Tamandua tetradactyla: one gene and its partners. The protein of the gene in region 1 interacts with the protein of each later gene in a biochemical or structural test. Links are inferred from orthologs where the notes say so. Each region holds a gene or a part of one and is shown in the gene's direction. Other genes may lie near its edges. The genes, in order: TRIM25, ZC3HAV1 and RIGI.

Region 1 (11,283 bases):
CATCAGTCCTTCGAATACATGTAGGAAAGCACGGCTGTAGTTCTCTGACTGTCCACGTCAGAACACATTCAGCTACCACGGAAATTAAAAAGGAAGAAAAATATATTTATTCCAAGATTCATTTACTGGGTAATGAGAGCGCCCTTTCTTCTGTAGAGCCCAAATGTGGTGATAATGTGCTAGGGGAAGCTGTGTTTCTCAGCATGAGCGCCCATCCTCTAAAGATCCTAAGAAGGATAGTGGGTTGGTCCTGGAGCCCTCATGAAAGGAGGGGCTGGTTCCATTGGATGGAACATTAAAACCTTGGGATGGAGGCGGAGCAATACCAGGGGGTGGTGGCGGGGCAGTGGTCACCACTGCTGGAGGACCATAGGAGGGTAGGGTGAAGTAGTTGGCTGGAGGAGGAGGTAGGAGGGCTCCTGGCAGCCCTGGAACAGGTAGCTTGTTTCCAGAGTTTGTGGTTCCATCCCTCTCTTTTTCTTTTCCTCTGGCTGCTTGGGATCTTCCTTCATTTTATGTTGAGGCTGCAGCCATTGACAACCAACTTATTAAAAGATTTTGGGGGGCAGCCACTTCTGCAGCTTGCCTTGTGTGGCAAACTGGATAAAAAACACACTGCTGTCTCTGCACAATAGTTATTATCCGAATCTCTCAAAACTGGTAGAAATGATGTCTCAGTAATGGTATCTCCCAGACCAACATATAGTGTGGTGATGGTCTTGTCCTCTGGTGGGTCTGGGTGAGGCATTGTTGAAGCCCACTTTAGAATCTTATCTGCCACATGATAATTGATTCCATAATATCCATCTTTGATATTCTGATCAGCAAGGGGGTCATCTGGATCTGTAGGCTTCTCATGTCTGTATGAATACTTCTCTCTTACATTCTTCTTTCACCCAGAAGAAGTAAATGTGGGGTCAACTCCATTTATAGTAGGGTGTGGTCTGGGCCAGTTTGAGTAGCATGTCACTGGTGGACGTGGCTTTCCCCAGCATACCAACGAATGGTGTTCCATCAGAGTGAGAAATCTCTCTCTCCACATTCTGTGTGTAGTACTCTTTGCTGACATCTGCCTTTGGCATATCATCCTTAAAAGACAATCCCACATCCTGAGCCCAGATGAGTAGGCCATATTCTAGGTCCAAGAGGCATGTCTGGCAGACGGCCTTCAATTTGATGCAGGTTTGGCGGACTTAGGTCTTAAAATGCATGCGAACCCCAGGGCACCAGCAAAACACTGTGAATGGCCTGGCACAGATTTTGCATTCCTTCCCATATTTTCCTTTGGTCATTTGGATATACGGGTGTTCTCCAAGACACGTCTGGCACAGTATGGGGAAGTTGGTATCCTCCTGGTTCTGCCTGTTATAGGTATTGGATCTCAGAGAGGTCGCCATCTGGACAGCGTCTGGAGGCAGCGGTGGCTTTCTAGTTGGAAGAGAGGATGCCACAATACCATCAGGCTGAAATGCAACTCATTTTAAAAATTAATCTAAAACAGAATATTCAGGATGATAAACTCCTGGCTTCAAAAGTGATAAAACGCCCATTTTGTTTGATTGTTGGGTTACATGATTATTTGATGTTTTGAATTCTTAGAACATTATTCTTCCATAGTCCAATTAAGAGAATGGGTTGGTATGTAACTGTGTGGTTGTGAAAACCTTGTGTCTGATGCTCCTTTTATCCAGAGTATGGGCAGATGAGTAAAAAAAATATGAATAAAATATAAATAATTATTAGGCGGATGAGGGGTAAAATAAATTGGGTAGATTGAAATACTAGTGGTCAATAAGAGGGAGTGGTATAGGGTATGGGATGTGTGAGTTTTTTCTTTTTTCTTTTTATTTCTTTTTTTGGAGTGATGCAAATGTTCTGAAAATGATCATGGTGATGAATATACAACTATGTGATGATATTGTGAGCCACTGATTGTATGTCATATGTGGACCATATGTGTGTGAAGATTTGTCAATAATTTTTTTTTTAAAGAGAATGGGTTAGTAATCTACATATATATGAATTCTAGCTATCTAGCTTTAGAAGTTTTCATAAACAATACAAATGATACACTCACCTGATAATACAAATCTGTCTGGAAATTTCCGTAAATGTGTTACATTTTCTTTACAGTTATAAATTTCCCTCTCAACACTGCCTTTGGTGCAGACTATAAGTTTGGTATGTTGTGTTTACATTTTCATTTGTCTCAAGATATTTCCTAATTTCCCTTGTGATTTCTTCTTTCACCCATTGGTTGTGTTTAATTTCCACAGATTTGTTAATTTTCCAGATTTTCCTCCATTATTCATTTCTAGCTTCATTCCATTGTCAGATAAGATACATTGTGCATTTCAACGATTTTTAACTTATTGCAATTTTTTTCTTTTTTAGTAAAGTTGTGGGTTTATAGAATAATCATGCATAAAATACCACCCTATTATTAATAACTTGCTTTGGTGTTGTTACAATTGTTGATTGCCATGAAAAGGAATAAAGTTATGATACATAATACAACATAGATAAACCTTGAAAACTTACAGTAAGTGAAAGAAGTCAGCTATGAAATATTACATATTTTGTGTAAAATGTTCTTAATAGGCAAATCGAGAGAAACTGAAAATAGATTAGTGTTTTGTCAGGGGGTTGGGGAGAGGGAGGAATGTGGAGTGACTACTAATGGGTATAAAGTTCCTTTCTTGGGATAATGAAATGTTCTGGAATTCAATAATAGTGATATGTGCACAGCCTTTTGACTACATTAAAACCTACTGAATTTTTTTGTACACCTTGAAAGGTTGAATTTTATGATATGTGAATTATATCTCAATTAAAAATAATTTAAAAAGGATAATATTAAAATATAGCAAGCAACTTAATAGCAATAAAGTCATTAGCATAGAGGAAATTGACAAATGCCTTAAAAACACAACTTACCAAAAACTGATACAAGCAGTAATAAAAATTTAAATTAGTCTTCTATCAGCTAAAGAAATTGAATTAGTGATTAAAAACCTTCCCATAAAGAAAATTCTAGATTCCTATGGTTTTACTAGTGAATTCTGTCAAACGCTTAAGAAAGTAATAATATCAGTTTTACACAAGGTATTTCAGAAAATAAAGAAGGAACTGTTCCCAATTCCTTTTTATGATGGTAACTTGACACTCATAGCAAAATCTGACAAGGACATTTAAAAAAAGAAAATTACAGTCAGCATCTCTCATGAACATAGATACAAAAATCCTTAACAAAATGTTAGGATATCAAATGCAGCGATATATAATAAATGATGACACAGCATGAGCAAAGGGATTTATTCCAGGAATGCATAGTTGGTTTAAGGTTCAAACATCAATCTGTATAATTCACCATATTAACCAAATAAAGAAGTCAAAACATAATCAGCATTGTTTAGAAAAGTATTTGCTGAATGAATGAGAGTGCCTCAATAAAAATGATCATAGTCCTTACTATGGAAAAAGTAAGGACTTTGTTGGACCTCTTTATACTTATTTTATTAAGAATAGATTCCCCCCCACTGTGTTTGTGTATGACAGCAAGGGTCACATACGACAACCTTTTTAGTATACAGAGAGTCTCAAAGTCAGGATTTTAGGATCATTTCTGTCTCTAGACCTTTCTAGCCTTCTTTCAAATGGGTACAACAATCAGTGTCCTTCATGAGGGGTTGAGTGCTAGAGGGTTGGGTGTTGGAACCACCCTCACAATCTCACGAGCATTGCACTGGTAGAAATAATAGGCTTAATCAAAATATATTTGTAGGCAAATGAAGTTAATTACTCCACCTAGTTCTCCCAACCTACAGGGGCAAAATGTCATCTGGTTAAGCCAGCCAGTCATCTGCTGGGACATCCAACTTCTTTGTGACCAGCTGGGATCATGTTTGACTTGAGGAGCTGCTCTACTGGTGTGACGACTCACAAACACACCCTCCAGCTCAGGAGAGCCATCTGGAGAGCCCATTACAAGGGTTCGCATTGACGCTGTCCCATTCTCACCGGTGTTAGTATGCTTCGTGTGTGTTTCATTTTGGTTCCACAAAAAGAAAGAAAGGTATTATTACAGGGCTCCCCATTTTGCAGATGAGGAATCCATGTCCCTAGGCAAAATCGACCTCTTGCCATATTCCCACTCCTGATTTGTCTTCTCCATGTATGAGAAGGCAGGTCGACATGTAACTCACATCTTAGTCCTTCAGCACTCAGTACAATGCCTGTTGCATAGTGGGCCTAAGTAAACACATACTGCACCGAAGTTGATAAACATAAAGTATGTTCCTCCTCATCTCCGCTGTCTAATCAGCCCTTCTCAGCCTTTCAGCCTGGTAAGACAATTCTACAGGTATTCCAGCATGAGTCACCAGGCCACCTCACCCGGGAAAGCTAGTCACATGGAATTTTATCGTGTTTCTTTCCTGGAAACTGCTCCCATATCTCCCTTTGGGAACATTTTATACCAGAAAAGGATTGGCTTTTGAAATCAGATCATCCATGGTCTTAGGCAAGTTATTTAGTCTCGCTAGGTCTCAGTTTTCTCATCTGTTAATAGGAGATAATTTATATCCATCTCACCTCAGAGATTTGTTGTGAGAATTAATTGAGATAGAATGAATAAATCTTAATTTCTTGCCTCCCTCATCCTTCTTCTGTTTTCCTCCACCCATATAAAAACAAATCAAAAGAAAACAAAAAAACAATATGAAAGAGAATGAGTGGGGTAAAGGGTTCTGGGGGAATAGAAGTCTGCGGGACAAGAATTAGAGGAAACAGGAGTTACTGTTGATTAGGCAGTTCTGAGCTAGAATCCCAGTCCTGCTTTCTATAATGTAGGTGACCTTCATCTTTAAGATGGACATAATATCTGCTCTCAGGGTTTATAAGGATTATAAGAGATAATATATGTAACTTGTCAAGCACACAGCCAATGCCCATAAATGGTGCAATTACCAAGGCATTTACCGTTTTCTCATTTTTACTGCCCACCTGGTGTCCAATCCAAACTCCAATAACGCATCCCAAGACACTCTTCCACTTGGCCAACACTCCATCCCCTTTCTCGAACACTTTTAGCCTCCTGTTCACCCACTATTATTTTTGGCTGTTGTGTCCTTTATTTCTCTCTCTTTAAATACATTTTTTTAATTTAAAAAGTTGCAGTTTTACAGAAAAATCATGCAGAAAATACAGAGTTCCCATATAACCCTTTATTATTTAACACTTTGCATTAGCGGGTACCTTTGTCACCACTGATGAAACAATATTATAATTGTACTGTTAACTATAGTTCATAGTTTGTATTAGAATTCACTGTTGAACAGTCCTATGTATTGTTTTTAAAATTTTTTAATCCTAGTTACATATATACAACCTAAAATTTTCCCGTTTTAACCACATTCAAATAAATATTTAAGTGGTATTAATTACAGTCACAATGTTGTGCTAACATTACCACTATCCATTGCCAAAACTTTCCCATCATCCTGACTAGAAATCCTGTGCAATTTAAGCATTAAGTCCCCATTCCCTACCCTGACCTTGACCACTGGTAACCTGTATTCTAGTGACTGACTCTATGAATTTGTTTATTCTTATTATTTCATATCGGTGAGCTCATACAATGTTTCTTCTTCTGTGTCTGGCTTATTTCCAGAATGTCATTTCAACATGACATTCAAGCTTTATCCATATTGTCACATGCCTCAAAACATCACTCCTTTTTATGGCTGAATAATATTCCACTATATTATATTAATATGCCACATTTTATTTATCCATTCATCAGTTGATGGACACTTGTGTTACTTCTGTCTTTTGGCAATCAGGAATAATGCTGTTATGAGCATTGGCATGCAAATATCTACTTGAGTTCCCAGTTTCAATTAGTTTGGATATATACCTAGAAATGAAACTGCCAGTAAATTGAGTTGTGTTTTTAAGTTTTATTTTTCTTTGTATATTTTGGAAATTAAACCCTTATTGCATATGTGCTTTCCAAATATGTCCTCCTAGTCTATAAGTTGTCCTTTTACTTTCATGATGAAGACTTTTGATGCACAAAAGTTTTAAATTTGATGAAATCCTTTTATCTGTTTTTTCTTTTGTTGCTTGTGCTTTGGGTGTAAAGCCTACGAAACCATTACTTAACTCCATTTTCTTCTAGGAGTTTTATTATTTTGGTTCTTATACTTAGATCTTAGATCCACTTTGAATTGTTTTGGATATGGAGTGAGGTAGAGGGCCACCTTCCTTTCTTTGCATATGGATATCCGGTTTTCCCAGCACCATTCATAACAGTCTATTCCTGCCCAATTGAACTGATTTGGCATCCTTGACAAAAATCACTTGGCTATAGATGTGCCTCTGCTGATACACTTTTCTTGTAGGCAGGACCAGAAGGGGGAGAAAGAGCTAAAAATATTAAAGGAAAGAAATCTAAATGAACCATTTAGAAAAAAATATCCAAACTCCAATACTGTATTCATTGTGCGTGGAAACCTTTGTTAATCTGGGTGTGTCCAAACCTCATGAAAGTAGAAATGGGAATTTTTAAATTATGTTAGATGGGTGGAATGGAAAGAAAGCTTCAAGTTCGGGTCTGGATTATGATAAGACCATGGGCTCCAGCCTTCAAGGATCAACGCCCTTCTGCCAGAACCCAGGAACAGGGAAGACAGAGGATTAAAAAAAAGAAAAAAGGGCAGTGTCCTTTATCCTTAACTGTTCCCACAATTGTTACTTTCAAAAGGCCTTTCCTGATAACTAGATCAGCCCTGTTGGCCGTGGCGGCGGAGGCATCTTGGATGGGCTCCTCGGGAGATGACTTGCTCCAGGAGCAAGTTTGTGCGGAAGCCGGACAGGACCCCGGTGGCTGTTACTCTCGGGTGCGCGACACTCCACTCCGCCTGTCCGTTTCCTCATCCGCAAACGTCCCGGGGGTCGCGAGCACGATCTGAAACCCCTGGCCCCAAGCGCCGAGCCCAGCGCGCCGCGCCCTCTCCGCAGGAGCCGTCGGGGCCCCTCACGTCGCCGACCGCCGTCTGGCAGCGCCAGCTGGTCTGAGGCGCCAACCCGCCGCGCCCCCCCGCGGCGCGCCCCTCCCCCGCGCGCCCCCCCCGCGGCGCGCCCCTCCCCACGGGCCGCCCCCCCCCGCGCCCCCACGTGACTTCCTGGAAGGCCGCGGTCCCGCCCCGAAAGCTGCTCAGTTTCGTTTCCTCGGCGGCCTCCGGGCGATAGTGCAGGAGCCGCGGCTACCGAACCAGCACGTCCCGACCCGTCCCCCAGGAGCGCCATGGCGGAGCTGTGCCCTCTGGCCGAGGAGCTGTCGTGCTCCATCTGCCTGGAGCCCTTCAAGGTGCCGGTCACTACCCCGTGTGGCCACAACTTCTGCACGTCGTGCCTGGACGAGACGTGGTCGGTCCAGGGCGCGCCGTTCAAGTGTCCCCAGTGCCGCGCGGTCTACCGGACGCGGCCGCAGCTGCAGAAGAACACGGTATTGTGCGCCGTGGTGGAGCAGTTCCTGCAGGTCGAGCTGGCCCGGGAGGAGGCCACCGACGGCTGGACGCCGCCGTCCCGTCCTGTGGAGCCCAGCTCGTCCAGCCCGGTGGCCTGCGACCACTGTCTGAAGGCCACTGCCGCCAAGACGTGCCTCGTGTGCATGGCTTCCTTCTGCGAGGAGCACCTGCAGCCGCACCTTGACAGCCCCGTCTTCCGGGACCACCAGCTGCAGCCGCCCATCCGGGACCTGCTGCGTCGCAAGTGTCCCCAGCACAACCGGCTGCGGGACTTCTTTTGCCCAGAACACGGCGAGTGCATCTGCCACATCTGCCTGGTGGAACACAAAGCCTGCTCGCCTGCGCCCCTGAGCCAGGCCAGCGCCGACCTGGAGGTAGGGGGAGTGGGTGAGGGGCAGAGGGACAGGCTAGAGCCAGCTGGGTTGTGCAGATGGCCAGGCTGGTGGCATCCCTGCCATCCCCTGGGTTCCCCGGGGGAACTGATCTTCTGGGCCTGAGGCAGGACCAGTCACAGTGTCAGAGTAGAAAGAAGCTGGGACATCATCCAGCCCTCCCCCATCATCCAACCTTCTGCCATCATCTGTCCCCATCCACCCACCCATTTTACGGAGGAGACAGCTGAGGACACAAGTGAGGTCTCTTGCCTAGAGCTTCGTATGGTATTTAGTGAGCATTTTGAACATCAAATATGAGCTCCCGGAGTTTCCTCCAGCATCTAGGAGATCTCTTATTATTTCTACTTTACAGTTGAGGAAACTGAAGTCCAGTAAGTTAATGTAGTCTCAGAAAATACAGTAACTGGTTGAGAAAGCAATGGCACCCAGGTTGCTTTGCGCAATTTGCAGTTTCCCTCCATGAACCAGCCCCATGTCTAGGTCTGTTCATACCTGGAGGCTTGAGGTCATGTAAGCCAAAGCCTTTGGTGAATCAGAGAGTTCTGTTGACCAGGGAGGGTAAGTTATTAGAGGATGGGGGGGAGACAGGGGGCAGAGCCCCAGGAATTCCTAGATATGACCACAGGGAGAGCCGACTGCTGTGTCATGGTGTGCTCTGTCCTGGCTGGATAACTTGGAGCACAGGATTTGGCCTCCGAGTCTGGATCCTTACTGGGTAAACAAGGAGACAAAACTGGATTCCTAAGGGGCCTCGCAGGTCTGTGGTCTTTAATGATTGGGAGTGCGGGTCGGGGGAGTGGGTGGACACAGGCAGAGGCTGGGAAAACGTTATCAAGCCACCTTGAGTAGCGTACCACCCTGGCCTCCAAAGATGGCCTCATTGCATTTCATTCTCATAGTACTGTTGGACAGAACAAGGACTGTTCTCGCCTTGTCGGAGGAAACATGAGGCCTGGGTAAGGTCAGGGGGAGATCTGTGGTGGCGCCAGAACCAGTGTCCAGGCCTCCCTGCTTCAGGCCACAGCCCTTCCCTGGCCATGTCTGCATCCAGGCCTGAGCTAGGTGCGTCTGCGCTCTGTCCTGACTCTAGACCTCAAGGCGCTTCCTGCAAGTGGACCTCCTCTGAGATGCCACCATCCTAGGAACCACTGCCTGAGTCAGGGCCTGTCACAGGAGAGAACCTGCCCAGCTTTTGGAGCCCTGCTCTGGCACGGTTTTGGGCAAGTCATTACTGTTCTCAGAGCCGAGGCTCCCTTGGCTGTCCGGTGGACTGATAGTATTCTCTCCCCACCTCACTGGGTGTCGGGAGGCTCCGGAGAGGTGAGTTGCATAGAAGGTGCTTTGTCTACAGGCCCCTGTGTCAGACCATGTGGCTGGTTTACGTGGCTTGGGCCAGAGCTGGGCGTTGAGAGATCTGGGTTTGAATCCTGGCTGCTCTTCTTAGCTAGGAAGTCATAACATGAGGATTAAATAAGGCGACCCATAAACCAGTGTTTCATAGTAAAATCTCTGTTGAGAGCTGTCTTATCATTTGGCCTAGGGAGAGAAGAGCAGCCCCCTGGGGTCAGACCATCTGGATCTTCTTTGCTTCAGGGTGCACGGGCCTGCGGGCGAGGCATGGGGCAGCCTGGCATTTGCAGAGAGGCTCTCCTAGAAGTTCCTGCCCCTGGAGGCAGAAGACAGCAGGGATAGGCCATGCTTCCTCAGCCTGGCTGGGAGCCACAGCTCTCATTTAGCCTCCAAGCTGGAGTCTGCTTCTAGTTTATTAGGTTCTGTACGTGCTTTTAATCCTTAGAACAGGCCTTCCTTGGCCCTCTCCTTCCCCACCCCTCGCCCCAATTGCCCTGGCTTACTGGGCTCTTTAATCGGTCTGCTTTTTTGAGCTCTGCTGCCACTCACTGCTGAATGTAGGGCACCCTGGCCTTGTGCGACTGGCTTGTCTCAGCTACTGGTGCAGGTGGACTCAGGACTTTGGTGACTGTCTTGGAGAACACAAGTGCCCGGGGGTCAGTCTGTGAAGGGACCTCAGAACTTCAGAGGGTTCTCTCCCCTTGATTAGGGGACTGTTGCCGCTGGTCAGAGCCACTGGGTCACTGTCCTTTTGTCTGGAGACATGTGGGTCTCTGGCCACAATCAAAGGACTGCCATGCGTGTTGATTAATGGCGGTAAAATCTTTCAAATACAGGGTTCACAGGTACAGTACTGAAAGTACCCTTGGAAATAAAATACGTGGCAGCCCCTAGGATTTGAAGTCTCTTCAATCCCCAGAACCCCATGAGGCTCCATCTGCTTGGGCTTGGACTTCTGCTCTTGGCCTACACCCTATCTCGGACACTGTTAGAGGCCAGGTCAAAGAGCATTGTCACAGAGGTCAAGCCTGAAACATCACTGGTGACTTGCGCTCTTGGGGTCCAGTTAGCTTGGCTTCGGTCCCTACTCCCAGCCCTTCCGTGTGACTCTCACTGGGTTATTCAAATCTAGGTTGAGGGTCAAGCTCAACTCCCAATAAACATGGGTGGAGTAGAAGAGTCAGGAGAGGGGAGGGCAGGACCAGAGTGTGTTGAGCCAGCTAATTAGGGGAAGTAAAAATTGTTTTCTAGAAATTTCCAGTGTGCTCAGCTTTAGCACATGCCTGTGATTGTAATACCTTGATCTAAACGGTACCAGTTAATAGCAGTGTGACCTTGAGCAGGTCACTTAATAGCTCTGTGCCTTAGTGTCCTCATCTGTAAAATGGGGGTAATGAGTCCTTACTTCCTCAAGTAATGAGTTCTTAGCTTTAAGTCAATGCATGGAAAGCACTGGAGTGGTGTCTGACATCTAGTAAATACATAATAAATGTTACTATGGCGGTTTTCCTTCTCATTTTCGCACCCCAGCATTACCTGTGAGCAGAGAGGCAGGATAATCAGTAATCAGATATTGATTTTGAAACATTATTGAAATCATATCTTCCTTCACAGTTTCCTTTTGTTTCCGGAGATGGCTAGGGGCCAAATGATTCTGAGTACCTTAATTCAGTTTCGGGGATTGAGTCTGTTTGCAGCTTGGCTGCAGCTCCTGCGGGCTGGTCTACTGCTAGTCCATTCTTATTCCTAAGGGGAGCCCTTGGTGGTCCCAGCCTGGGGGGTTACTAGGTGAGCCATGGACTCTGATTGTTGTCCCTCTGGTTCCTGGAGACTGTCAGGGGCTCCAATCAGCCGTCTTGGAGTTGGCCGATGCCCCTGGGGAGAACATTCCCAGGTGCTAGGCTATGTCTCTGGATTTCTTTCTCCTAGATCTTGACTCCATGACCTTTTTCTGCCTTGTTAGCTCTCCAGTGCCTTTAAGGAGGCTTTTGTTTGTTTGCTTTTTT
Region 2 (10,886 bases), on another chromosome or scaffold:
TCCATGTCCATTGCCTCTGCTCTCAGACCAGTGTTATTGGAAGGTTTGTGGTCTGAAGTTCATTTGAGCACCATCAAAGCAATGTCTATAAATTTATCCACGAAGAAGGATATGCCCCTTCTCTACACTAAAGATTACTCCTTCACCTACACCTGCAAGTCCATCCTTTACCAATTCAGTTCCTCCTAGGGAAACTTGCTTGTTGTATAGATTCCATTTAGGGAAAACTCCTGTAACCACTCCCTAACCTCTGCCTTCCTTTTACTGTTTGACCATTTGACTAATGCCACTTTTGATTCCCATAGCTCCTGTGGAATACACATAGTTGCTATGGACTTTATGCATTCCATCTGACTCACCTTCTGATGTTTATACAGTTTTAATTACTAGACTTAGCACAGGTGACCTAACTGCCTTGTGTAGGCTTTGCTTTCCTCTCTGATAGGTGGTGCCAAATCATATAGCCTGATAGCATACTAACGTACCCTTTCGCTTCAGGTTTGCATGCTCCCCTGATTTATTTCTTTAAAACCTTCACATATGGCAGGATCTTCCAGTGAAACAACAAAAATCAACAAGGAACAAACAATCAAAATTCTCTGTCTAGTACCTAGATAATTTTTTCCTTTTTTTCCTTACCCTTTCCTTTCTCCCCCCTCCCTTTTCTTTTCTGTCAATGTTCTAAAATTAGTGATTGTCTTAGTTTCCTAGGGCTAGCATAACAAAGTATTACAAACGTGGTGACTTAAAACTACGGAAATTTATTCTCTTACAGTTCTGAAGGCTAGAGGTCCAAAGGCAAGTCTGTGTCACGCTCTCTCCAATGGTTCTATGGAAGAATCCTTCTTTGCCTCTTTGTAGCTTCATGTGGTGCCCAGAAATCCTTTATGTTCCATGGCTTGTAGCTGTATAACTTAAGTTTCTACCTTGTCTTCGTCCTGTCTGTCTCTGTTTCTTCTCCTCTTATAAGTACACCATCAAAATGGATTAGAGGCCTACCTTATTCCAATATGAACTCATCTTAACATAACTAATCACATTTGCAATAACTGTATTTCCAAATAAGGACACATTTTGAGATACCTGGGGTTAGGACTTCAACATATATGTATATATATTTTGGATGCTGTATGGTGTGGGTCATATTTCATTCTTTTTCCATATGACTATCCATTATTGCAGCACCATTTGTTGAATTATTTGTTTATTTAGGGAAGTTGCATGAGCCGGGAGCTGAACCCGGATCTCCTGCATGGCAGGCAAGAATTCTACCACTGAACTACCCTTGCATCCATAGAAAGGATCATTTTATTTCTTTACTATGGATTCTGAATTCCAACCTTATCATTCTAAGAAAACTGCTGGTTTATCAAGTGAGCTGGAATCTAAGACTGAGAAAGGAGACTTTATTGACTTAGGGACGCTCCCTCATGATACAAGATTTAACATTCTGACAAGGATGAAGGGATGGTGCAAATCTTGGAAAAGTGATGGTTCATAAGGAGTGAAGTTGGAATGCCGTAGTTGCCATGGCAGACAGTAGAGGAAAGGATTAAAAGACTCAGAAAAGTGGACATGATGGAATATCATGTTAGGCCAGAAGACCCAACAGAGGATTGATACTGATAGCGTCAATCCTGAAGCATCTTCATGGCTCCCCTGTTAAAGTGGGGCAAGTGAAGTCTTGACCAAGGTCCAGTGGGATCCACCAGACATATCCACTTACTTCATCTCTCCAGAAGCTACTGGATAAATTGTTGGAGTGGCTTGTGTCTTAGCTTGCTAAGTTGCTGGAATGCAATATACCAGAAATGGAATGGCTTTTAAGAAGTGAATTTAGCAAGTCACCAGTTTACAGTTCTAATGCTGAAAAATGTCCAAACTAAAGCATCCAGAGAAAAATACCTTGCTTAATAGGAAGGATGATCTGGGAAGGCATGTAGGTGGCATCTGCGGGTCCTTGTTCCCGGTTCTGTTACTTCCAGCTTCTGATGCCAGTGATGTCCTCTCTAAACATCTATAGGCCTTCACATAGCTGCTCCGGGACAAAACTCTAAGGGTTTCAGCACTTAGCTTAACGTCTTCTGGGGTTGGAGATTTCATCTCTTCAGGTTCTAGCTATTTTGGTGAGTCCTTGCTTAGCACGTGGGCCATTTTTGTCTCAATCTCCAAATGTCTACATTTGCTCAGCTCTGAGGTATCTTCAAAATGTTGCCCCTTTTAAAGGACTCCAGTAAACTAATTAAGACCAACCTTGAATGGGCGGAGTTATATCTCCATCTAATCAAAATGTCACACCCACAGTTGGGACCATCACAGCTCCATGGAGATAATCTAATCAAAAGTTTCCACCCTACAGTATTGAATTAAGATTAAAAGAAACGGCTGTCCCCACAAGATTGGATCAGGATTAAAACATGGCTTTTCTGGGGTACATAATAGCTTCAAATAGCATGGCCTGTTAAAGATGAAGCTGAAGCGCGAGCTGGAGGCAATATACTGCAATGATGACATGTTCTCCAGGCTTTGGTATATGCATTAAATCAGAGAACTTAATATGGTGCTGCAGCCCCAGTGGGTTTGGAAACAGAGTAGAAGCAAGAGTAGCTCCACTTTCCATCATTCCCAGTGACACAGTGGGTTTCCTGATGCCTACAATCTGGGCTCTGCAGGTTTAGAGGTTCTGGTCCCCAAAAGGGACATACTCTTGCCTGGGGACAGAGCAAACGTCCCATTCGCCTACAAGCTCTGGCTGCCATCAGGCACTTTGGACTCTGATGTTAGAGACTAGCAGGTAAGAAAAGGAATGGCCATCTTATTACCAACAAATGCATAATTTTCTGCCTGATATACACAAATGACAATTCCTGAGACAATGGGTTTCAAAGGGAGAAAAAGTTTATTGCCAAGAGTGAAACAAGAACAGATGGCTTATGGGCTTAAAATCTGTCTCCCCAAACTGTAGTAACTGAGAATTCTATAATATCAAAAGATGGGCAGGTTTTAGGATATTGAGTATAATGCCTTGAGAAGATGAAGTTAGAGATGATCTAATTATTGAGCATGCACAGGTTGATTAAATGCCTAGTTACAGAACATATGTAATAAATTGGCGGCTTTAACAGGATGATGATGGGCGTGATTTTTAGTATTATAATGAGGTATAGGTCACTTACAGGTTAAGGTTCAGGCTACTACATGTCAGGAAGGCCAATTTTGGTTAGATCTAGCTTTGTCTAGTAAGACAGCTTAGGAATTGGGGTGGGTCAGTTATGGGCTGACTCATGTTCCTTCATTAATAAACATTAAGGTGCTGTCTAGGGATCACAAGACGTTAAAAGTTGTAAAACAGGATTAGGGGATACAAACTGGGCCAGTCATGCGTTTGCACAGGATTTTTGCAATCATAAGGTAAAGATATAATCATTATTATCTGGGTTATAGTTCAGTGAGTTTCAGAAAGTTCAGGTATTTACTTTCGGTTATTCTACAATACACTAGAAAGGAAAAGGGCATCTATATAATGCTTCAGTAATCATAATCATTTGTTAACTCTTAATTGCTTGGTGACAATTTTATCAGAGGTAATTGACCCTCATCAGGAGTTGGAAGTGGGGCTGCTCTTACTCAATGGGGCAGGTGTTTCCTGGTACTCTTTTGCCCAACTGTGACTGTCAATGGACAAGAGCACCAGTCCTGGCCGGTGAAGGGAATAAGTACCGAGAATAAGCACCAGGTGCGCAGACCCCGCAGGAATGAGGATTTGATGGACCCAACCAGTTAAGCCACTGAGACCAGGTGAGGTGGTAGCCAAGGGTGAGGATTAGAATGGCTAGCGGAGGAGAGATAGAATGAGAACCTACTATGGCCTTGAGGCCAACAGCGGTGACAGGGGTTACAGTTCATTCATCTTCTAAGTTTCCTTTTATGAAGAGAGGCCCATCCGAGTTCCCTGAACATGGATGGAGAAATAGTTCCACATGCTACAAAAAGTGGACTATACAGACAAGATGTGTCACTCAGTTCTCCCTAGAAGACAGGATTTGCTGTCCAGTTGTGAGGAACGTATTTAACATTTAACTGAAAGCCTCCAGCTTTAACTCTTTCAGGATCTGCCCCAAAAATCAAGCTAAAGTCACATACTTTTTCTGGTGGCCCCTGCCAATGCCTGGTACAAAGGCCTAGCCAATTCTGTTCCAGAGCTTCCCCTCGCTCTGGCAGAGACTTTGTCAGGTCTGCAAAGCAGTCTGACAGCTCCCACGGACCAATCCTGCTCCTTCTCTTGTCTTTCACTGGACAGAATATCTTTTGCACTCCTACCTCTGGGTCAGTATCTGCTTTCTAGAGAATCCAATTGTGACAGCATTTGTTTTTAAACTTCCCCAAATATCTTTTTTTCCCTTTTCATACCCTTAAAGCATTTATGTCTCCAAACTGAGGGGAATGTTATCTCTCTATTCCCAACCACTCTAACCAAACTGGACTTATCATTTTCTAATCTCCTCAATAACCACTGCAACATTTAATCAATGCTTTTCTTATATTTTTAATGTTCTTTTCAAGCCTTCCCACACATAAGCTCCTTAAGTGAAGGGACTATTTCTTAAAGTTACACATTTTCAGAATGACTAACTAATGTAAGGGCCACATAAAAGATACTCAATAAATATGTTAAATTTAATTGATTTGGCAATGAAAGCCCAGTACCTGAGAACCTGTCAAACCACAATTATGGCCAAGTGGATGAAAGACAAGTGTGGAAGCAGTAGCCAGAAGGCACAGGAAATCAGATGGCACAGACCTGCAGTTCTGTGTGAATCCCACCATTGTTTTTTTTTTTTATCCCATTAGCGATTTCGAAGAATTTCTAATTTGGTAACCACATTCTATTTTTTTTTTTTAAAGATTTATTTCCTATCTGATAAATGCCCAATTTATTCTACCTGAAGGGGAAGGTCTTGTCGAAATATCTAAAAGGGGGACACAGATTTGAAATCTTGGGATGTGTACCTGTGATTTCTTGTGAAGAAGAAGCAATGTCTGGGGCATCTCTGTTAGTGATTATAGGCAGAAAAGAAGGGGTCTAAAAGAGTTTCTTCAAAAAGTTTGTGGGAAAACAAAAACGGAGAGTCATAATCGCTGTTCTTTAAGGGGTCATCGTGATGGAAGAAAAGTGCGCGTTGGTCCTGGATTCCGCGGACCTCGATCTGGTACACGGCGGCCAGATTTTGGGAACCTCGGGGGGCACCCGCATTCCAGCTTGGTAGTGGTGCACCTCTGCTCAAGTTACTTTCTCAATTACTGAGTGATGATGATAATATCGACTCCGTGGAGCCTTGTAAATTCCACGAAACTTAGAAAACTAAAATACACCAGGAGAGCGCCCAGCTCGGAGGAAGTACTCTAGGGTCGGTTCTTTCCAAGGATGGGTGAGGTAGGAGATTTCGAGAGGACTCCTCAAGAGGGCTCTCAAGACTCGCGTCACTTGCCACTTAGTCTGACTTATAAAAACGCTCCCAGAGCCCAGAGATAATTTTTAGTTTCTCTTCTTTCCGAAAAAGCCCCGCGGCGATTATCTGGGAAACCCCATCTTCGCCTAGTTTAGAACCAAGAGTTCTCCGCGCTTGTTCACTTTCCAGGTTTTCCCATCGGCGTTAGAGTTCAAATCTGACACAAGGACTAGAGGGTGATATCTGGCTTCTCCGTCTAAGAGCCGAGTTGGAAACCGAAACCGATGGGTTTAGCTAACGGAGGAAGAGAGCGCGCGCTCGCCCTGGGCGCGTCCAGCGGAGCACCGCCCGCTCCCGTCCCCGCCCCGCGGACACTTGTAAGTTTCGATTCTACGCAAGCTGAGTTCGTCGCACTCGGCTAGGCCAGGCAGCGCGCCATGGCGGACCCCGAGGTGTGCTGTTTCATCACCAAAATCCTGTGCGCTCATGGGGGTCGCATGGCCCTGGACAAGCTGCTTGAGGAAATCGCGCTGTCCGAGGCGCAACTCTGCGAGGTGCTGGAGGTGGCCGGGCCCGACCGCTTCGTGGTGTTGGAGACTGGCGGCAAGGCCGAGGTCAGCCGGTCGGTGGTGGCCACCACTCGAGCCCGGGTCTGCCGTCGTAAGTTCTGCAACAGACCCTGCGAAAACCTGCACCTCTGCAAGCTCAACCTGCTAGGCCGGTGCAGCTATTCTTATGTGGATCGGTGAGTGCACAGAAAAAGGGGAGGCACCCCCTCGGCTGTGGTGGGGAAAGATGGTCGGGGCTGCTGCTTCGGGAGGGGCGCCCCTCACCGGGTTCCCTCACCCGACAGCATCTTTCTCCAGCCTCTTATTTCTTTGCTCCCTTTGGAGAGCCCCTGCTTCTAACCCTGGCGGTCCCCATCCCCCTGGTGCCTCAAGATCTTTCCTCGAATATGGCTAACGCCACACTGCCCAAGCGGAGACTGCGTTTACCCATCCCCATAAGAATAAAGTGCTTTTTGGGCAAGCCGATCCTGGTGATGTTGAAGGCAGGTTTGGGAATGAAGAAAAATGCCTTTGTTCTCTGGATTCTTCAGTCCTTCTCTTTCCGCTACCTTCGATCCTAGAATTGTTGGCGGGGTTCCCGGCACCAAAGCCGCACTCGGGGTTCTCCATCGGACTCCATCGCAGCGAGCGGCTGGTCTCTGCTTGACCCTCCAATCTTGGTTGTCTCCGTACCTCCCAGTATCACTTCTCTACAGTCTGGCTCCAGTCCACACCATCTGACCCTCCTTTAGGTTACCTGTAATAAAGTCCCTGAGCACTTTCCCGCTTGTGTCTTTGCAGTGGCCCGCCCGGGACCACTGACTTAAAATGGTCGTTTAAAATGGTACAGCTTACTGCTTAGGAGCTACTTCTGTGTCTCCACTTGCTCTTTTCTGCTCTCTCAATATAGGTGCGCCCCAAGGTTTGGGTTGAGCCTTTTGATTAGATTATCTCGCAAGTTTCCCACTAAAAGAGCTCACTCGTTGGCTCAGCTACCTGAGCTACAAAGATGGCTTCCCAGCATACACCCCCTGCTCAGGCTTGCCTACTGAGTTCATATCTTCATATCTCAGTGTCTCGGGAACAGCAGTCTCCGAGTACACTTGGTTAAACTCATGGTCTTTCCCCCAGACAGGGTTTTTGACACTCCCTTCCACCTTTTCTTCATATTTTTCCCTCTTCGCAATTCATTCGCTCTTTCTGTGAAGTCTCACATACCTATCTCCTGTCCAGTTCCTCTTTTCCATCGCACTTCCCAGTGCATTCATTATTGAATTAAATTGACGGTCTCAGTAGCCACAGTGGTTTCCCCCATCTGTTCTGCCTCTGTTTACTTCTGTACATGGCATGTACCTGATATGGCATGTCTTACAGTATTGCCCTCCTTAAAGACCTTAAGTGGTGACTTGTCTAAAATGGTGGCCATCTAACTGATCCCATACTTCTTATTAGCAAAAAACTTTAGATCACTCACCTTCTGATATATGTGTAATATAAATGTAGAGAAGACACATGCTTTAAATGGATGAGACGGATAATATTTTTTAAAAAGGTATTTGTTTATAGCAAAAAACCTTTTTGCCCATTCTAAAATTTAAAAAAGGTGTTTGAATAAGAGTGCTTATTTTAAAAATATTTGTTTAGTACCTTGTGAGGTAACTATTTGAACGCCTCTTTCTGAGATCCTGAAGATACGTGTGACTTACAGAGGAAGTCATCTGAGTCGGGGGTGGAAGAAACCACTGAGGAAAGAAGGAAAGACTGGAGAATAGAAAAGGAAACACTATATATTCTAGCACTGTATTGAATAGCAGTGGGATTAGAAGATTATCTTTTTTCTGTTAAAGTGAATGATGAGAAATTCCTTACCAGCTAATGGTGGCTTTTACTTTTAAATACATATGCTTTTATCTTTTGACTATTTAGTATAGATATTTTCAATGTACACAAAAGTAGAGAAGAGAGTATGATGAACCCCCCAGCCATCCTTTGATTTCAAAAGTTTTCAAAATATGGCCGATCTTGTTTCATTTATTCTCTCTTCTCATCCCTGCTCTTCACTCCAATGAATTATTTTAAAGCAAATCCCAGGCATCATTGCATTCATAAATAATGAATACCTCTAAAAGTTACACGCTTTTATTAAAATAACTACTATCCAATTTTCATTTATAAGGTTACAATAATTCCTTAATGTCATCTAATATCCAGTTGGCATTAAAATTTCCCTGATTATTTTATAAATCAGACTTGCATTTTCAGGGAAAAAAACATAAGCAGGTACAGTCCTTAATTGTTGCAATATTACACACAATAATATATTTGGACAACTTAGTTTGGTTTTATGAATTTTATTATGGTGTTGTTTTTTGCCTGGTTTGAAACCTCAAAACCATTTTTAGCTCACAAATTGAGTTGTTAACCTGAAATTATAATTTTAAGATATATAATATAGGGACTGTTTGTGCAAATTTGAGTGCATACTCTAGAGATTCATTAAACTTTTTTTTTTGGTAGTGTGGTAAATAACTGGTCATATTTTTCATTTCATATTACATCAATTTTGAATTTAGATATTGCACCTTTTTTTTTTTTATCCATTACTGTATATGGTATTCTCATAATGAGAACTTCTGGGAAAATTTACTTGTTTGGTCCTCAAACCCTAGAAAATATGGTTTTTTCCCAAATATGTTTTAAAATATTTCCCCTTCTCAGCAATTTATGAAACTTCATCTCATAAAACTTGGCTTGTGGGGTGAGCCACAGTGGCTCAGCAGGTAAGAATGCTTGCCTGCCATGCCAGAGGACCCAGGTTTGATTCCCGGTGCCTGCCCATGTAAAAAAAAAAAGAAAGAAAGAAACAACACTTGGCATGTGTAACAAAAGGACTTTGTGGATTATTGGTTAATGTAATCTGTTGACCTGTTGATAATCAAGTTGAAATTGCCTTTTAGTTCAAGAAAACCTTCTCTGTGTACCTGGTGACAGTTTGCATCTTTTTTTGGACTTATAAAATTTCCTCTGTAGGGCTGTTATTTATAGGTGGGGTTTCTATTATCTGTCCTGCTTTTAGCTATACATTTTAATTGAGAATAGGACTTGATTCTGTGTTGGGTAATTATTTGTTTTGGTGGATAAATTCTGATATTTCTATTTGCTTTGCTGAAATGTATGCCCCCACACAGAATTCTAAGCCCAGTTCTGACATAAACAGTAACTCCCATTTATTGAACAAATAACTATGTACCAAGCACTATGATAAGCACTTCACAGACGGTATACAAGTAAGTCTTTACCCTAGCATCTGAGGTAGGTATCGTAAACTCCATTTTGAGGTAAAGAAATGCAGGCCCAGTGATGTTTAGAAATTTATCAAAGGTCACATACTTAGTTGCTGGCAGGATCAGAGTTTGAACCTAGATCTGGATAACTTCTTAACCAGTATTTGCCTTGTCAAGTAGCTGTATGAAGTGTGATATTTCATTAATTTAAGTTATTTTTTGCAAACGTGATTTCTTTTTAAGTTTTGAAAGCAGGCTTTCTGAGTGTTTTCATCTCGCTTTGTGGTTTCTGCCAATGTGGGTGTTCCCTCTGGGCTCTTTCCTGTTTGTATGCTTTTCCGTTTTGGTTAATTGAAACTTTGGGTGGGGGTGGGTAGGTGGGAAGCATTAACTTTTTCATAAATTGAAAGAAAAACCCACACCAAAAAGCCCAAAGAATAATATAACAGGCATCAGAGAACTCATCTCCCAGAATGAAAACGTATTTATAATGTTCATTTTTGTTTCTTGTCTTTTAAAATAAAACTAAAAAATCATAGCAAGCTTAAAGTGTGGTGTTTTCTTTTTCCTCTTTCCCAGACCCATTTCCTTCCTACTCGAGGAGCAGCTTCAGTCGTGCTTTTGTTGTGTATTCTGCCTATCCATGTTTTTATATCTTCCTTACATTTACATTTGTACCTATATAGAAAATGTAGTACTTTTTATGTGTTTCAGAATTTTTACTCAACATTGTGTTTTTGAGAACTATTCATGTGGATACTTAACCTTCTTAGTTCATTCATTTTAAGAGCTGTATAGTATTCTATCATAGGAGTTATGTAAAAACTTATTTATCTTTTCCCCCAATATTGTACATTTGGGTTATTTTCGTTTTTGCTACCATAAAACATGCTGCCTAGAATCAACATATCAGTGCTTAATGCTCCTGGCAAGAGCCTCTCTGGATAGATAATTAGAAGTGAAATTGCTGGTTTGGGTGATTGCACTGCTTCGACATTACCAGATTCTGACAAATTAGTCTTAATGGTGGCTATATTAATTTACACTTTTATATTTGAGTGTAAATTTCATTGATGCCCCACCCACACCTAGTGTTAGACTTGTGTATGCATAAACCAGCTGAAGAAATATAATGTTTCTCAGTTAAATCTTGAATTCACTTCCTCCATCATCACTCCCTTCCTAGAGACGGTAACTGGAGATAGTGTTCTGTATTTGGTGTTTACTTTTCCCATATATTTGTTTAGTATTTTACTACTTAAGTGTGTATTTTTAAACAATCTTTAGGATTGTTTTGCATGTTTGCAAACCTGCAGCTCTATCAGTGACCTTGATACTGAATATGTTCCACAGCTTGCTTTATTTGTTCACCAGGATGTTTCTGAGCTTCACCCCTAATATACAGACCTCTATTTCTATACCACCTTGAGATCTGGGAACGCGGGGATTTCTGCCCTGGGTCTCATGCTTTACAGGGCCTACTTCTGGTCCTCCTCCAGTTTTATCTGCATTCACTGACTGTAGAGTCTGTGGGGCCAAGGAAATGTGGCCATCTGGGGGTTCCATCCCACTTCTAGATCGTTTCTGGAATCCTGGGACCCTGG
Region 3 (10,727 bases), on another chromosome or scaffold:
CATGGGCCATGACATCCAGGGGTGAAAGTGTCCCTGGCAGCGTGGGAGATGACTCCCAGGGATGAATCCAGACCTGGCACCATGGAATCAACAATTCCATCCTGACCAACAGGGGAAAAAGAAGTATAATTTTTATTATATTTATATATATATAAGGTAGAAGATGACTTCATATAGAGTCAAGAGGCTACTCTGGAGGTTGCTGTTATGCCAGCTTCAGGTAGACCTTGCTACCTATCATAACCTGCCAACCCCCCAACCAGGACCATTCCAGCCAATCCTTAAGAATACCTAGGGCAATATAGGATTCCACAAGGGTTCTAGGCACTAGCGTAACTTTCCAGAAAACTACAACCTCCAGATGGGTCCCTGGTGCAGATAAGTCCTGAAACCTAGCCCAGCCTCTCCAGAACATCATATAGTTTCATCTCCCTACCCCATAATAGTGACATATCCTTCCAATATCAAAAATTTAGAATTGCCATAGCCCAAACACCCCTAAACATAGGGATGGAAAGATCAACGGTGATGGTGGAGTTATACATAGAAGATAGGATTTAACAAATGAATATGAATGCTGAATCATGAAATTGATGTCTCTTTTAGTCTTCAGTGTTTTAGAGCAGCTAGAAGTGGAAACTTAGAGTTGTGTCATTATAACCAATCTATGTCAAAGTCTGAAATATGTTCTACAACTAATTGTGGTGCTATGCTTTGAAATTTATAGCTGTTTTGTATATATGTTATTTTTCACAAAAAAAGAAGGAAAGAAAGTTGATTGCGATGATGAAAAAGCCTCCTATAATCTGGGGCAGCTAGAAGGAAAAATATGAAAGGATCGTATGGTAGCCCATGACAACTCTGGGATCTGTCCTGTAACCACTTGTTGAAGAGTGCTTTGAAAACTATTGCTTTTTTATTTCTTTGCTTTTATGTTATCTATACAATAAAAAAATTTTTTAAAAACCCCAGAAATATTGAAAGATAAAAAAAGATATACTATGCAAACAGTAAGCCAAGAAAGTTAGTACGGCTATAGTAATATGGGATGAAGTAGATTTTGATTTGCTAATAAGAAATATGGAAAGATTAAAAACAGACATTTCATAATGGTAAAAGACATAAATTGTCAGGAAGAGATAACAGTCATAAATGTGTTTACCTAAAAACAGGGACCCAAAATATATGAAGCAAAACTGATAGAACTAACAGGGCAAATCAATACTAATAGTTTGAAATTTTAAATACCCTCTCATTATTTGATAGAACAAGTAGACACATAATTAGTAAGGCTATAGAAAACTTGACGATACTATATATCAACCTGATATCATTAACATTTATAGAATACTATACCTGAGAATGGCAGAATACACATACTTTTTTAAAAATGCAACTTTATTGTGATATTTATTCACATACCATATAATCATCCAAATTGTACAATCAGTGGTACACTCTATCATCATATAGGTGGACATTCATCATCACAATTGATTTTTGAACATTTTCATTACTCCATAAACAATAACAAATGAATAAAAGTAAAAAAGAACACCCAAAATATCCCGTATTTCCCCTCCCCCCATTATTTATTTATTTATTTTTGTCTTTTTTTTTTTTTCCTTACTCATCTGTCCATACACTGGATAATGGGAATATCAGTCACAAGGCTCTCACAATCATATCGTCACACCTTAAAAGCTCTATGGTTATTTAATCATCTTCAAGAGTCAAGGCTATTGATTATAATTCAGCAGTTTCAGGTATTTTCCTTTAGCTACTCCAATATACCACAAACTGAAAAGGGATATTTATATACTGTGTAAGAATAACTTCCAGAATGATCTCTCAAGAGATTTGAAATCTCTGAGCCACTGAAACTTTATTTTGTTTCATTTCTCTTCCCCCTTTTGGTCAAGAACCCTTTCTCAATCCCAGGATGCCAGGGCCAGGCTCATATCCTGGAATCATGTCCCAAATTGCCAGGGAGATTTATACCCGTGGGAGTCATGTCCCACATAGGAGGAGGGTAGTGAACTCACCTGCAGAGTTGGCTTAGAGAGAGTGGCCACATATGAGCAACAAAAGAGGTTGTCTGTGGTGACTCTTAGGTATAATCATAAGTAGGCTTAGCTTCTCCTTTGCAGGAATACATCGCATAAGGACAAGCCCCAAGATCAAGAACCTGGCCCATCAAACTTGTAGTCCCCAACTATTACAAAATTATCAGATCTTCCCCAGTTGGGGAATTTTAATGTTTCCACTTTTTTCCCCAGTCCCTTAGGAAAACTTTGCAAATAGTTTTTAATCTTCCGCCCTAATTACTCTGGGAGGTACAGGGGCATCACAGCAACCTGTACAAACCAACACCATCTCACTTCTTATTCAAGGTTCCATGTAATTATGCTGTTAGAATAAGTTGACCAAACAAGTTAGATTAGATAGTGTGCTGCAGAAAATATAAATTTTGCACCAAATAAACATCTCTTTCTTTGGTTTCACACAGAAGTTAAAGTTTTAAAATATAGTCAATATCATCCTTTACCCTTTAGTCTGCTTTACCTCAGTGCTACCCACATTAGCCTCATTCATATTTCTAATTGAAGTCTGATCACTTTTTCAGCTTTCTTAACAGCTGCTGTATGGGGTAATGCTGATTTTCATAGCTGCAGAACTCCAGCTCTGAGTCTCAGGTGTCACGCAAGTACCAAAATTCCAGGGAATGGCCAGGTTATACATATATAGCTAAGCATATCAGAATTTAGAAATAACAGTTGGAATAGATGTGACTGCTGTAAGAGCTTACAATCTAAGACCTTTATGTTCTAGTTTGCTAGCTGCTGGAATGTGATATACCAGAAACGGAATGGCTTTTTAAAAAGGGAACTTATTAAGTTGCAAGTTTACAGCTCTAAAGCTGTGAAAATATCCAAATTAAAGCAAGGCTATAGAAATGTCCAACCTAAGGCATCCAGGGAAAGACACCTTGGTTAAAGAAGGCCGATGATGTTCAAGGTTTCTCTCTCAACTGGAAGGCACATGGAGAACATGGTGACATATGATAGCTTTCTCTCCAGGCTTCTTTTTTGATGAAGCTCCCCAAGGGGTGTTTTCCTTCTTCATCTCCAAAGGTCTCTAGCAGCATGGGTTCTCATGGTTCTGCTCTGAAGCTTTCTCCAAAATGTTTCCTCTTTTAAAGGATTCCAATAAACTAGTCAAGACTCCCCTGGAATGGGTGGGAGTCACATCTTCTAATCAAAAGTTAATACCCATAATTGGGCATGTCACATCTCTGTGGAGATAATTTAATGAAGTTTCCAACCTACAGCACTGAATAGGGATTAGAAGAAATGGTTGCTCCACAAGATGGATTAGGATTAAAACATGGCTTATCTAGGGTCCATAATCCTTTCAAACCAGCACACTTCACAATAGTCCTTCACCTGATAATCTATGTTTTGTATTTAAATCTGAGTTGGACCTTATAATTAGTCTATATTAGTGTGGCATGATAATATTTGTCTTTTTGTTCCTGGCTTATTTCATTCCACAAATTGTCCTCAAGGTTCATTTACCTAGTCGCATGCCTCATAACTTCATTCCTTCTTGCAGCTGCTCAATAGTCCATTGTAACACATACTCTTTTTAAGGGTGCCTAGAATGTATAACAAGATAGTACTTATGCTGGGCCATAAGTACTTTGACTAAAATAGATTAAATAGAAAAATTCCCAATTATTTGAAAAATGAATAGCATATTTCAAAATAACCAATACATCGAAGACAGGGATATTAGAAGCCACTTCAAATGGGATGAAAATATAACATATCAAAATGTATGCAATGTTACTGTAAGGGAAATTTATCACCTCAAATAGTTATATTGGAAGAGAAAGATATATAAAGTCAGTGATCTAAGCTTCCACCTAAAGAAACTAGAAAAAGAAGAGCAAATTAAGCCTAAAAGAAGTAGGAGAAAGTAACTGATAATAAGAGCAGAAGTCAATGAAATAGAGAGTAGAATAACAGTAAAGAAAACAACCAAAATCAAAGATTGGTTCTTTGAAAAGATGAATAAAATGAGTAAATCCCTGGCAAGACTGATTAAGAAAAAAAGGTAAAAAGATAATAAGGAATATCATGAACAATTTTATGCCAATAAATTTGACAATTTACGTGAAATAGTCAAAATCCTTGAAAAACACAATTTACCAAAATTGATTCAAGATGAAATAAAAAATCAGAATAGCCTTATATTTATCAAAGAAATTGAATATGTTATAAAGAATCATCCAACAAAGAAAATTCCAGGCCCAAATGGTATCACTGGTGAATTCTGTTCAGCATTTAAAGAAATGATACCAATGAAATCCAGCATATTAACAGATATGCTGTTAATATGAATGAAATCCAGCATATTATATATATATATATATATATATATATATATATATATAATCACTTCAACAGAGGTGGAAAAAACATTTGAAGCACCCATTCATGATAAAAACTCACAACAAACCAGGAATAAAAGAAAACTTCATCAGTGTGATAAAGGGCATCTCAGAAAAACCTACAATTAACATCATGATAAAGGGAAAATGCTAATCTTTTTCTCCTGACAGTGGTAATAAGGTAAGGGCATTAACTTTTTATTTATTTATTTTTAAATTAATTTTTAAATAAAAAAATACCAAAAAACACCAAATAAACACAAACATTCATAACTTTTGATCATTCCGTTCTACATATATAATCAGTAATTCACAATATCATCACATAGTTGCATATTTATCATCATGATCATTTCTTGGAATATTTGCATCTATTCAGAAAAAGAAATAAAAAGAAAACAGGAAAAAATTCATACATACCATACCCCCCACCCCTCACCCTCACCGATCACCAGCATTTCAATCTAAATTTATTTTAACATCTGTTCCCCCTATTATTCATCTTCAACTTTTACCATTTTTATTCAACCTACCTTCTACTGGAAACTCTAGGCAGTGTAATAAGGAAAGGAAATTAAATAAAAGGCATAAAGACTGGAAAAGAAGAAGTAAAATTGTGTTTACAAATGATATGACTATTGATTCAGGAAATCCTAAGGAATCTACAGAAGAACTAACGAGTGAGCATAGCAATATCGCAAGGTAAAAGGCCAATACACAAAAATCACTTGTATTTCCATATACTAAAAATAAACAATTTGAAAGTGGAACTTAAAAAAATTTCCATTTACAGTAGCATCAAACAACATAAAGCAAGAATAAATTTAACAGGATATGTATGTATAAAACCCATACTCTGAAAAACTAAAATATTGCTGACAGAAGTTAAAGAAGACCTAAGTAAATGGAAAGACATATTTTCACGTATTGGAAGACTCAATATTTTTAATATATCAATTCTTCCTAAATTTATCTATAGATTGAATGTAATCCTGGTCAAAATCCTAATGGGTTTTTTTTTCTTGGTAAAAATGGAAACTCAAAGAATAAAAAATAGAGTCTTTAAAAAAAAAATAACAAAGTTGGAGGATTCACATTACCTGACTCCGAGACTTACATGAAACCTATCATAATAAAAAGACCTGCTTTATTTGTATGAAGATCAACTAAAAGATTAATGGACCAGAATAGAGCCAGAAATGTCCTACACATGTTCAGTGAATTAATTTTTTGGCAGAGGTGCCAAGGTCATTAAATGGGGAAAGATAAGTTTCCTCAACAAATGGTGCTGGAATGACTGGATAAAAGTTTGGAAAAAATGAACCTTGAGCCCTGCTTTATACGTCACACAAGTTTAATTTGAAATGTTCAGAGACCCAACCTTACGGGTTGAAAATATAAAAATTCTAAAAGAAAACACAGAGTAAACAAAGAAAACGCTAATAAATTAAATGGGATTTTATAAAAATAAACTTCTGCTCATCAAGACACCTTTAAGAAAATGACATGTCAAGCCACAGACTAGAAGATATTTGGAATACAATATTTAACAATGAGCTTGTATCCAGAATAAATAATTAACTCCTGTAAATCCACAATAAAAAAAAAAAACGGGCAAAAGATTTGGCAAGATGCTTCACAAACGAAGACACGAATGGCTCATAAGCACATGCACATGTGCCCAACATCCTCAATCATATGGGAAATTAAAATTAAGCCACGACGATATACCACTTCACATCCACCAAGATAGCTAAAAATTAAAAAAAGAAGGCTGACCGAAGGTGAAGATGTATATCATCTGGAGCTCACTTGTACTGCTGGTGAGAATGCAAAATGGCACAGCCATTTTGGGAAACAAGCGGCAGTTCCTTATTCAGTTAAACACAGACTTCCCCCACCCAACTTCGGGAAATGGCATCTATTTTTCAAGTCAGCGAACTGTCCACTTAAGACCTACAAATTTTAACTGCATTTAAACCCTACCGCTATTAAGAAGGCGAGTAATAAGAGAAATAAATTAAAAAAAAAACTTTTCTAGGGGTCCTCTTCGAACTCGAAGAGTTCGGATCATCGAACTTGCTGGGGTTGGCAAAGGAGGAAGCAAGTGTGAGAAAACGAAACTGCGCGGACTGGACCCGCAACTCCAAGGCAGCTGATCCCTGTGCTTCCTGCCCTCCCCCAACCGGCCGCTAGTTGCAGTTTCGATTTTTCTTCGAGACTTCAGATTTCCTCATTGCTCCGCCCCTCAGCGCTGGGTCTATCTCTTGGAAAATCCCACCTTGGATCGCTGCGCTCTGCGCTTCCTCGACCTCCATCTGGGCGTTAAGCGAAGTTTCGGAAGCTGGGACGCAGGCATGACGGCCGAGGTGCGGCGGAATCTGGACTTTGTAAGGCACTACGTTAGGAAAATTCTGGACCCTACCTACATCCTGAGCTACATGGCTCCCTGGTTTAAGGAAGGTGAGTGGTCCGCAGCGGTGCTCCCTCGCCTAGGTCCCCATAGCCCTCGAGTGCCTCTCAGGAGCTTGAGCCTCGAGGACGGTTTTCAGAAGTTGTTTTTTCCCTTGTTTGTTTTCTTTCTTTCTTTTAATCGATTCAATTGTCTGCTTGAAACGCTAGGCTTGGGGCAAGATTTTCACGGCATTTTAGACCAGAGACGGTCAGTTTAGGGAAATTGAAGCCCAGCAGGGTGAAATCACATTTCTATTTACGTTCAAAACTGGGGAAAGAAATCGCTGTTTCATTTATTTATAATAGTTTTTAGGTAACTAATTTCTAATATTTCTAAGTAACCAAGTTACCTCTATCGTGGGATCTATGTTGTGCCAGCTTCAGAGATCCAGAAATGAGATAAGAGGCCCTCCCTTAAAAGATTTTATAGCTCAAGGTTTGGGGGAAGGGGCGACGACATATCTACAGAAATGATTACATTATCACTGTACAAAATTCTTTGTCAGAGATCAAAGGTCGTTGTTGCTCACTCTGCGGGGTCTAATTTGCAGTTCCAAGTTCCAAGTAGCCGGAAGCTTGAAAAGAGCAAGACTCTCCCTGAGTCTTAGTTCAGACTCAGAGATTTTTCCATCTGGTTTCTGAGGCATATGATGATGCATAATGGCCATTCTGTAAATATGTATTAAACTACTTTGTGCTGGAGATGAGAGAGGCTTCCTGGAGAGGAGGGTAAGTGAGGCAGTACCTTGAAAGAGCCGAGATGAGAAGAGAGTTCTGGGAATTCCTTTTCAGCCTGCAATTAACTAAATATCTTTACTGATGTTAGACAGTTTTTGAAGTTGCATTAAAGCAGACAGGCAACTTGGGTGCTAATTGCTATGCAGAAACCACACCACAGATTGTGGAATGAGGACTGAAGGAATACCACCAAAAAAGTGGACATCAGCTTTCTAGTTGTGCCCTGAGGGAAGTAATGAAATGGCATCCTAATAAGTAGAGTAGCTTGGACCCCTGAAAAATATAAGTCCATGCAGGACATCTCTTTTGGACCCTTGGAATGAATGAAACGACACATTTTACATTCAAAGATACAAATAGATGAAAGCAAAAGGACAGAAAAATATATATCATGCCAACAGCAGAGACAAGAAAGCTATAGTGGTCATTGTAGTATCAGCAAATAGACTTTAAAATAAAAAAAAATTAGGAGAGATAATGTGGAGGGAGTTACTACAATTGTGCATTGTTGGAACACAGGTTCTGGGCACAATAGAAACTTACAGTAAATAATCCCTTTATTGTACAGAATAGAGTCTAGAAAGGGCAAACTCTTTGTCACTTACATAATCTAAATGAGCAGGGGAAGAGGTCCCATCACGGCCAGTCTCCTGAGGTGGCCGAAAACTGCTCCAGGTTGGGGTCAATTGATGCAGCTCAGTATGCCCCACTTTGTGCTGGAGAAGAGAGACAAGTCTATATGTTTGAGTGTGGTTTTTATCTAACTTGCAGGTGAGGGGGCCCTGCCACTGAGAATTTCTGGGACTGCTTGTTCCCATGGTTTTCTATGTTTAAGGTTTGGCAGGGCCTTTTCATTAGAATTAACATCTCTTCCAGGTCAGCTAGATCTAACAGACACTATTGATGTAAATAGAATATGCATTCTTCTCAAGTGCACATGGAATATTCTTTAGGATAGGCCATATATTAGGCCAGAAAACAAAAACCTCAATAAATTTAAAAGGATAGAAAGAATATGTATACAGTATGTTCTCCTACCACAGTGGAATGACATTAGAAATTGTTCTAGTTTGCTAGCTGCCAGAATGCAATACACCAGAAACAGAATGGCTTTTAAAAGGGGTGATTTAATGAGTTGCTAGTTTACAGTTCTAAGGCCGAGAAAATGTCCCAATTACAACAAGGCTATAGTAATGTCCAATCAAAGGCATCCAGGGGAAGATACCTTGGTTCAAGAAGGCCGATGAAGTTCAGGGTTTCTCTCTCAAGTGAGATGGCACATGGCAAACACAGTCAGGGCTTCTCTCTCCGCTGGAAGGGCACATGGCAAATACGGCATCATCTGCTAGCTTTTCTCTCCTGGCTTCCTATTTCATGAAGCTCCCTGGGAGGCATTTTCCTTCTTCATCTCCAAAGGTCACTGGCTGGTGGACTCTCTGCTTCGTGGTACTGCAGCATTCTCTGCCCTCTCTGAGTCTCTCTGAATCTCCAAAATGTTTCCTCTTTTATAGGACTTCAGAAACTAATCAAGACCCACTCAAATGGGTGGAGACATGTCATCCCCTAATCCAGTTTAACAACCATTCTTAACTAAATCACATCAACCAGGGAGATGACCTCATTACAGTTTCAAATATACAGTACTGAATAGGGATTATTCTACTTTTAAGAAATGAGATTTATATTAAAACATGGCTTTTCTTAGGGGGCATACTTCCTTTCAAACCAGCACAGAAATCAATAACATATTTTGGAAAGTTTAAGATGTGTGGGAATTAAACAACATACTCCTGAATAACCAATGGATCAAAGAAGAAATCAAAAGAAAAACTGGAATGAATGAAACACTAACAGACTTTTGTGACTCCCATTCTTTCATGCACTCGAGTATTGATTCAGTATACATTGATTCAATTAAATAAGCATCTGAGATATGCCAGTCATAGTGCTAGTATTTGGAGGCAATTTACTAAGCACATGTTATTTAATATGAAGCATTGTGTTAGAAACAGAGGAATCAACGGTGAGTGCAATAGAAATGTTCCTTAGCCTAAGAGAGATTGGAATTCATAAGTGAGGACAGTTAACTAAATACACAATAAGTAATAAAATGTGTTAAATTCTCTCATGGGAAACCATAGGGTGCTGTGGGAGCACATAGATGGGACATCTACCTGTTCTGAAGGGGTCAGAGAAAGCTTCATAGATCTGTGACTTTTTTTTTTTTTTTTTTTTTTTTTTTTAGAGAGAGGGAGGAAGGGAAGGAAAGACAGAGAGAAGGAAGGAAGGATGGAAGGAAGGAAGGGAGGAAGAAAGGGAGACATCTTTAAACATTTTCTTGTTTTATTATATTTTGTTTGTTTGTTTGTTTCTTACATGGGCTGGGGCCGGGAATCGAACCGGGGTCCTCCGGCATAGCAGGCAAGCACTCTTGCCCGCTGAGCCACCGCGGCCCAGATCTGTGACATTTTAACTGAGGTTGAAAGTAGGAGAGAAAACTAGCTGGAAAAAAACTGAAAGGAAATATATTAGTTTCCTAGCTACTAAAAAAAATACCATACAGTGGGCTGGCTTAAATGATGGGAATTAACTGGCTCACAGTTTTGAGGCTAGAGGAAGTCCAAACTTGAGGCACCAGCAAGGCAGTGCTGTTACTGGACAAAGGTGGTGGATTCTTTTGCCTGATGAGCTCAATCTCAATTCCTGAGATACTGGGGTTTCAAAGAGAGAAAAAGTGTATTATGAAGCATGTAGTAGGAAAGCAGATGGCCGTTTGGCCCAAAATCTGTTTCACTGAACTACAGAAATTCTGATGGTTTTATAGCAAAGAAGACAAGCAGAGGGGCCCTGGATGATGTAATAAGAGTTGATCTAATTATTGAGTATATATAGACTGATTACATGCTTAGTCACAGAACGTATGTAAGAAAATGGTGGAAATGAAGAATAGGTGACTCACAGGTTAAAGTCTAAGCTGTTGCGCATGTCAGATGGGCCCAATATAATTAGATCAAGTCTTGGTTATCAAGATAACTTTGGACTTGGAGTGGGTTGGTCCTGAACTGTTCCAAGAGCCTTC

What was found.
Region 2: of the proteins of TRIM25 (region 1) and ZC3HAV1, one has a biochemical effect on the other in vitro, tested with the Homo sapiens proteins (2 studies listed by BioGRID). The link is inferred for Tamandua tetradactyla from reciprocal best matches to the Homo sapiens genes TRIM25 and ZC3HAV1.
Region 3: of the proteins of TRIM25 (region 1) and RIGI, one has a biochemical effect on the other in vitro, tested with the Homo sapiens proteins (5 studies listed by BioGRID, with this or other methods). The link is inferred for Tamandua tetradactyla from reciprocal best matches to the Homo sapiens genes TRIM25 and RIGI.

What each region holds. Positions count from the first base shown.
Region 1 is NC_135332.1:37,908,709-37,919,991, reverse strand, and holds the start of TRIM25 (E3 ubiquitin/ISG15 ligase TRIM25), read left to right. Parts: upstream 1-7,224; 5' UTR 7,225-7,309; coding exon 7,310-7,906; intron 7,907-11,283.
Region 2 is NC_135327.1:182,160,876-182,171,761, reverse strand, and holds the start of ZC3HAV1 (zinc finger CCCH-type antiviral protein 1), read left to right. Parts: upstream 1-5,557; 5' UTR 5,558-5,887; coding exon 5,888-6,195; intron 6,196-10,886.
Region 3 is NC_135328.1:63,389,100-63,399,826, forward strand, and holds the start of RIGI (antiviral innate immune response receptor RIG-I), read left to right. Parts: upstream 1-6,345; 5' UTR 6,346-6,813; coding exon 6,814-6,919; intron 6,920-10,727.